Nothobranchius furzeri: one gene and its partner. The protein of the gene in region 1 binds, or shares a complex with, the protein of each later gene. Links are inferred from orthologs where the notes say so. Each region holds a gene or a part of one and is shown on either strand. Other genes may lie near its edges.

Region 1 (3,755 bases):
TGCAGAACTCTGTGAAGGACTTTTTATGATTTGTCGGTTGCATCTGCCCTTTTCTATGCAGTGGCCTGTTGGGGAAGCGGATGTACAGACAGGGACCAGAACAGAATTGGCAAACTGGTGCAGAGGACTAGCTCTGTACTGGGATGCCCCCTGGAATCGGTGGTGGGCGAGAGGAGGATGCTAGCTAAGCTAACATCCATCATGAACAACACACATCAACCTGAGCAGCTCATTCAGTCAGAAACTGATATACCCCCGCTGCAGGAAGGAGCACTCCCGTAGACCACCGATTCCACCAGTAGATGGGATTTATAACACATTATGACGTCATTAGTCAGCCAGCCACTTAAACGCTACGGTCACTACTCCATGCAGGATGCACCTGATATATGTATTTGTTTGTGTGCTTACATGTTCATGCCTGTATTTACAGTAATCTACCACATAGACGGTAAATAGTAGCTGTAGCACAACAGCTGATACTTTTTATGTATTATTAATTCATGTGACACACGTGATCGCCAGTGGAATTAAGGTGAAAAACAAGCTAACTTTCCACAGTTTTCCTGTTTAGTGGCAAAACGACAGAGACCAAGTATCTAGCATAAAGTCTTGTTAGCTCACTTGGATCGCAGCTGTAAGGCGACCAAACATCACCTTCCAAATTATTTTCATTCTGGTAAATTACAGATGGTGTACGTTTTTATACATCGTTTCTTTCCCTCAACCGCAACATGCACACGAAACACACACGTACACAGAGGCTACACTCACCTACCGGTAAGCTAATGATACACAACATAACTTTTCTCGCTACACTTCTTCTGAGGGATGACAATTTTGATTGTTTTACTAGAAAAACCAACAAATTAAACGTTTACCTCTCATCTGGACGTTAAACAAGATAGCCGAAAAAGTCTGTTATGCAGAACTGCAGCTGCAACAATATGTCACCAGTGCTCCAGTCTTGGGTCTTTTATGTGGATCAAAACCATTTATAATGATGATTTTGTCCACATACCGGTCCCCGACGTCTTTATATAACATGTCCCTGTATATTCCACATCCTTGTTGGGATTTTATGTGATTTAACACTTTCTTTCACCCAAATCTGCTTCTACTCTGCGACAGTACCGTTTATTTCACAGTTTGCAGAATGCTATGCGTAATCACGTGTGATCACAAGCCCTACACAAAATCTGCTGATTTTAGAAGCATTAATGTCGGTATATCGGTATCGGTTTTCGGCCATAACGGTGATATTAATATTGTATATTTGTTTTAGCCCAAAAATTTCATATCGGTGCATCACTATCACGTTAAATACATTTACTGTGAAGTGATTTTTTTTTCTTTTTACTACACTTGTGGTACTTTGAGGAATCATCACCACCTCCACCCGGGTTCCCAAACAGCCTCTTGAATCAGGCCCTCACAAAGCTAGAAACGGCTCTGGGACACGTTACCTGAAACAGGAATGCAGAAGGAGCAGCGAGGACACAGGACAGTGTTGGAGGTTACTGGTACCGGAAGAACGTTCCCGCATTCAGGACAGAAGTTCGGGTCACCACTAAAATAAGACATCCCGTCGAACCGGGCTGCTGACTCTTGAGAAACACAGACACGTTGAAAACAACAATCAAAACCATGAACCACTGGTTTCCCGTTCGGTTCACATGGGTTCTGTTTCGTTCCCTCCTGACTGCCAGTGGCAGTAAACAGAGTGGATGTATCTCCTCGCGCTCTGCGCAGGTCGAGTACTAATGTAAACAAAGTCACGCACGTGACACGTAGCGCACCTGGTCGCGAGTCTATAAATTACGCGCCGATAGCTACGTTCGGGTCTCCCGGGATCTTCTCGCCCGAGAAGTTCCGAGTGACCCCTGTGACTGGCAGTCATCCAGGAACTCACAGAACCATAGTTACACCGTAACTTCCGTTATGAAGACTTAGCACTTTATAAATTAACACTTTAAAAGACCTCCTGGCTGTGTGATGAAATCTAACGAGTGAATGTTATTGTTATTATTAGCAGTAGTAGCAGCAGCACATTGAGCACGTGGAGCTACTTGGAAACCTTTTACATGTTTATATTAGTATTCGGCTATTCTTTACACATTTAGTTCAAAACAGCGCTACTGTCATCATTTATTAAGTCAGTATAAAACGTTACAAACCTCTTTCACCGGTCACTTGTTTGCAGTAGAGGTCCTAGGGTCCTATCCACAGCTATGTATATGGTCCTATCACGTTATTGTCGCAGGCTGATGACGCAGGACGTGCTAGTGTCGCACGCTTGTTTACGTGACATGAGTTAATGACCAAAATGTTATTTGGGAATAATTAAATTAATTCGCAAATACCATTAAATGGTGTCAAACAATAAAATAAGGTGGAAATATCATATAGCATCTCCAGAAGCATTTCAATACCAAAGTAAAGCATACGTGGAAATAATAAACAACACTAAACTCATAATTACTGTGCAGAGATTTGGGGCAACAATGACCAGGGGTGGTCCTAGCCTGTTCGGTGCCCTGGGCGAACACACTTTACTTTTAGATGCTGCTTCACTCAAGCCGCTTCAGCAGACCTGTCCTCCTCCCTCTGCAGCACGCAGCAGAACAAATGTTTCCAAAAGTTACACACACCAGCATAATGTTCAGGCACTGCGCTCCCAAAATAAGTTTTTTTTTCGTACCCATTTTGCCACCCCTCTCATGATGCCATCCTGGGCCATTACCCAGGTCGCCCATGTCAAAAACAGTACTGCTCATAACTGTTTATTTTTATCTATTTTACAAAAAAAAAAAAAAAAGAAGAAGAAAAAAAAGGCCACTAGAATAATCTACACATCGGTGGTTACAGATGTCACACAAACCAAATGTTCTTAAAATCACAAATTTTGAAATTTTCTGATTTAGTTTAGTTCACATTGGAGTGAAACTGGAACCGACCAGCTGAGACAGTGATGCTGTGTTTTCTTATCAGGCTGAAACCTATGATCATTCATTTGTTTGGTGCATGTATGTAGAAAATTTGAACGGATGTCTGACTTTTCCATAGGTGTTTTATTTTAATGAATTGTTTCCATATTATATTATTTGTGGACTCCTTTTAAATGTTAATGAAAATCAAAAATACAATTCATAATTTGAACACAGTAAAAGAATGACAAACAATAAGCCCTAATGCAAGTATTAATCTTTCTTTGATGATGTAGACATCACACATTCAGTAATTAAATGGTCCATCAATTCCTGCCATATAATGTGTCAGGGAGGAAACGGAACTTCACCAGCAGACGTGGATGGATCACAGAAGGTTGTTTCATCTTCCTTTGTTGTTTTCAAGACATCCCAGAAAAAGATTACAAAAAGTGGAGCATTAGAATAAAGCTTTGTGACTGAAGGTCGTGTTGCAAAATGTTATCATGAAGATTAAAATGTTTTAGCAACTTTATTAACAACATATCAATTCTACCATCATGTCTCACATGCCTCAGTGACAAATTTCTGGATTTAAATCATCCCAGTCCTGCCTGCAGAACACTTACTCGAAGTCATCAGTGCTTCCTGACTAACAGATCCACCCTTAGATTGTGTTACCAACCAACTCTTTGCTTTCACACAAGTATAGACAGGATGATGCTACCCCAAAGTTTTATGACATGACATCATGAGCGATGGCAGTTTTTGGCTCTTACCTTGAAGCAAACAAACCTCACCCTCATCTCCATGATCCAGCTCTGAGAT
Region 2 (3,755 bases), about 2.5 Mb from region 1:
ACAATAACGTGACTTTGACACTGAACCCAGGTGGAAACAGGAACTGATAACATATAAGAAACTAGGGCTGGGCGATATACCGATATTTTTAAAATATCGGTATAATTTTTAAACAAGATATAAGATGACTTTATACCTTTATAACTGGTCAAACTGCTATGCTAGTGACATGTTGCTCCGTCTCTAAGGGGTTATTACATGTATTCTCTCAAGTTTGCTCAATCTGAGAGCCTCTGGGTAAATGTGCTGGTCTAAACTTAGCATGTGGCGTTCTGGTTTTTAATTATTTGGGGACGTTCAACGCCAACGGAGTTCTGTTTTCCGTCCTGCTTGTGTGGAGAGACGAGTCAAACCCCTCCCTCCCCTGTGTAATGAGGAAACATCTACGGAAAGCCGGAGTGGGCAAATTACTTCAAACATATAGTAAGGGTTTGAATAGTAAACTATAGGGTTAACGTTTTATTTTGAAGGCGAGCTCAACGGGTGAGAAATGTTGCTCCGGGTTTTCCGCTGTGGTTTGTTATGCTAATAAATACTCCCGTTACGAGCAATTCTGTTGAAAAAGTTAAGAGTTTGTAAGGCGTGGGTTACGGCGACAGTAGCTCAAATATATTACTCATAAAAGAGCAACCAGAGACTCTGAGTCATTACAGTATAATCGCTGATATGAGTCAACACTGATAGATTCCAGCCATGTTTGCCCTGATAACTAATAACTCTATGGTGCATGACCCATGTGACCTTCAGTAGATGCAATTGCATCATCTACCTGAATCCTCTTGCAAAGGCTTACGTCTCGGCCTGGCCGCTCCGGTCATCACAGGATCGTCGGCTAGCAGTGCCTACACCACGCTCAGGACAATCCAGGCTCTTCTCATGCATCGTTCCACAAATGTGGAATGACCTTCCAAGCACTACCAGAACAGCGGCTTCTTTTTCAATTTTCAAGAAACTCCTGAAGACCCTGCTCTTCAGAGAGCATCTTCTTAACTAGCACCTTTCCTGCACCCGTCCCTCCCTCTAACGTCCACTCCTTTGTTCCCTCCTCTCCATGACTGATGTCAATGTTGTTGTTGTTATTGTTGTTGTTAGCCTCAAGGGCTACATGCCGATTATCACTTGTAAGTCGCTTTGGACAAAAGCGTCTGCTAAATACATAAACATCATCATAAATTTAGCCTAACATGATAGATTTTTGTTATGGACAAGAAATAAACGATATGGGCCACCTCTAGATGAAATCTAAATCATTTTACATTACTAATAAATATATAATAAAAAAGTCCCTGTGGGACATTTGATACACCTCTAGCTCTCAACTGTGTACGTGTGTGAGTGTGTGTGTGTGTGTGTGTGTGTGTGTGTGTGTGTGTGTGTGTGTGTGAGTGTGTGTGTTAGCAGACAGTTGTACCAGTGTTTCTAAAGCTCAGACTGGTTGAGAATAGGCACTAAGGTTAAAGTTGGACAAGAATCAATACATTTTTATGCATTTAATCTACTGATGTATGTTTATAATTTCTCAAGACAGCTTGAAGTGAGTTAACTTGGAAATACTTTACAGGAGGAAAAATATTGAGATATACATCGTATATCGGAATTCAGCTAAAAGATAGAGGAATAAGTTTGGGTCCATATCGCCCAGCCCTAAAACAAACCATCAACTCAGCATCAGCACCTACTCACCTGGTCCGGCCCAGCTGTCCCCTGATCAGCAGAACTCCTGCAGCATCAGCATCGAGCGCGGTCACCTTAAACTCCAGCTCTGTCCCGACTTTAGGACCAGCGTCCCTCCAGGTCTCTATGGACACCAGAGTTGGCCTGGGAATGCTGGCATTGAAACAACTGTGCACGAGGCAGCCAACATGGCTCACTCCCAGTTTATTCACTTTACCCTGTAGAAAACAAACCAACGACAGCAATTGGTGCTACTGAGATGACTTCTGATTAATTCTGTCCATCTTACCAGGAGTTTCTGTCCCCTTTTGGGCTGAAATACAATGAAGCTGGCTTCTATGTCCATGTGGATGTAGCCGCTGTCATTGTAGATGTCCCCATTTCTTCCCAAAATCCTAATGTTGTCATAGGCTAACAGCACTCCATTCAAACTGGAAGACACAAAACCAACAGCTTTAACTGGAACGGGAATACCAGCAGTTTTCCAAGCATACTATGACACAATCCTGACTCCATCTTTGACTTGAGCTCAAATAAACCTCCTGATGTTGAAGATATGTTACGCTGCTGATTCCAGTTGTTTAAAAAAAGATCAAATAGTTCATTTAAAACACAAAGAATACACCTTTAGCTGTCAGCTGACTGCCATAAAATGCAAGCACAGTGATTAAATCAGGCAATCCCGCCTGTGCTCGTCTTTCTACCTCTGGGAAAACTTCAGCAGCTCTCCGTCCAGCTCCTCCTGGATGCCAGTCTTCTTCTTGTTCAAGTACTGCGGCGCCAGAGCGACGTGTCTCCGGTGGGAGTTCAGCACCAGACACGAGTACGGCACCGGCAGGAGCTCCGACGCGGCCGCGAAGGAGGGGACCACGCAGCCCGCATCTCTGTCCGGAGCAGAGGACGGCTTCACCGGGGCGCCAGCAGCGCTCATATTGTTGGACAAGTCCACATGTTTTGGATCCTCCACAGCATGCTCGAAGTTCGCCATGCTGCCAGAGGACCGGAAGACAAACAACCGAGACTGTCGTGTTGAAGTTAGCGACTAAACCTTTATGCTGCCCCCTGCTGGCTCGGAGGTTCACTGGAGCAGCGCTCTTTGGGAGACCGTGAGCTAATAAGTACAAAAGATGTATTATATAGAAGATATTCAATTTTGTGATGATAAATGCAATAATAAGTTTCTAAGATCTTCATTAAGGAATCTTTTTGATCCAAACTTACTTAGACGTAATTACATATTAAAAGATTTCCAAAGGGAAGAAATTGAAAAAATAAGAAGTGATATCACCTTCCCTATCGCTCCTAAAGGGAAAGAAGTCCAATTTTAATTTTTGACCAAAATTTACCCAACCAATAGACTCCTTGGGGATAGATTCAATATAGAAGCTGGTAATTGTGTATTTTGTGAAACAGAAGAGGAGGACTTAGGCCATCTATTTTTTGTGCAATTTTATACAAATATTTTGGTTAGATTTTCATGCCTGGCTTTGTTCTAGTGGGATTCAAATTGCCCCATTTACCTTAAATATGATAATGTTTGGAGTGTTTTTGAAAGAAAAGAAAGTTAGTTATGGTGTTAATGTGTTATTAATTTTGTGTAAACAATTTATACATAAATGTCGATTTTTTAAGACCAAACCAACACTAGCCTATTGGAAAAACAACTTAAAAGTATTAGTTAAATCTTTGAATTTAGTTAAAAAGAAAAAGGCTGGTTTGTTATTTCCTTTGTAGAAGATTTTGAGTTAGTAAGTTAATAACCTGTTAATTATGTGACCCCATCTTTAGATTTTCCTTTTTTTCCATATACATGAAAATGTTGAATATGCATGTAATGATTATCTTTTGAATATATAATGTAAGGTGCATTTTGTTTGTATGTTATCTTCTCTAATAAATAAATAAATAAAGTACAAAAGATGTATTTACGCTGGTGCTCTCCACGTGTTAACAGTGCTATACTTACAGTGTTGCCATGTGTTGGATTCACAAGCTGATCTCTCTGTATTTCATCAATAATGTAAAAGAAAGTAAAACTAAAATAGTGACATTCCTGTTTTGAAACCCAGACTCAACAAAAC

The links. Proteins that work in one complex are often made in the same cells at the same time.
Region 2: polr1h (region 1) and polr1f share a complex: the UniProt entries of both Homo sapiens proteins name them as parts of the RNA polymerase I (Pol I) complex. The link is inferred for Nothobranchius furzeri from reciprocal best matches to the Homo sapiens genes POLR1H and POLR1F.

What each region holds. Positions count from the first base shown.
Region 1 is NC_091751.1:25,535,479-25,539,233, reverse strand, and holds the start of polr1h (DNA-directed RNA polymerase I subunit RPA12), read right to left. Parts: upstream 2,282-3,755; 5' UTR 2,178-2,281; intron 1,608-2,177; 5' UTR 1,585-1,607; coding exon 1,467-1,584; intron 1-1,466. UniProt on the Homo sapiens protein: Core component of RNA polymerase I (Pol I), a DNA-dependent RNA polymerase which synthesizes ribosomal RNA precursors using the four ribonucleoside triphosphates as substrates. Can mediate Pol I proofreading of the nascent RNA transcript.
Region 2 is NC_091751.1:28,041,470-28,045,224, forward strand, and holds the start of polr1f (DNA-directed RNA polymerase I subunit RPA43), read right to left. Parts: upstream 2,708-3,755; 5' UTR 2,663-2,707; coding exon 2,379-2,662; intron 2,106-2,378; coding exon 1,964-2,105; intron 1,893-1,963; coding exon 1,684-1,892; intron 1-1,683. UniProt on the Homo sapiens protein: Component of RNA polymerase I (Pol I), a DNA-dependent RNA polymerase which synthesizes ribosomal RNA precursors using the four ribonucleoside triphosphates as substrates.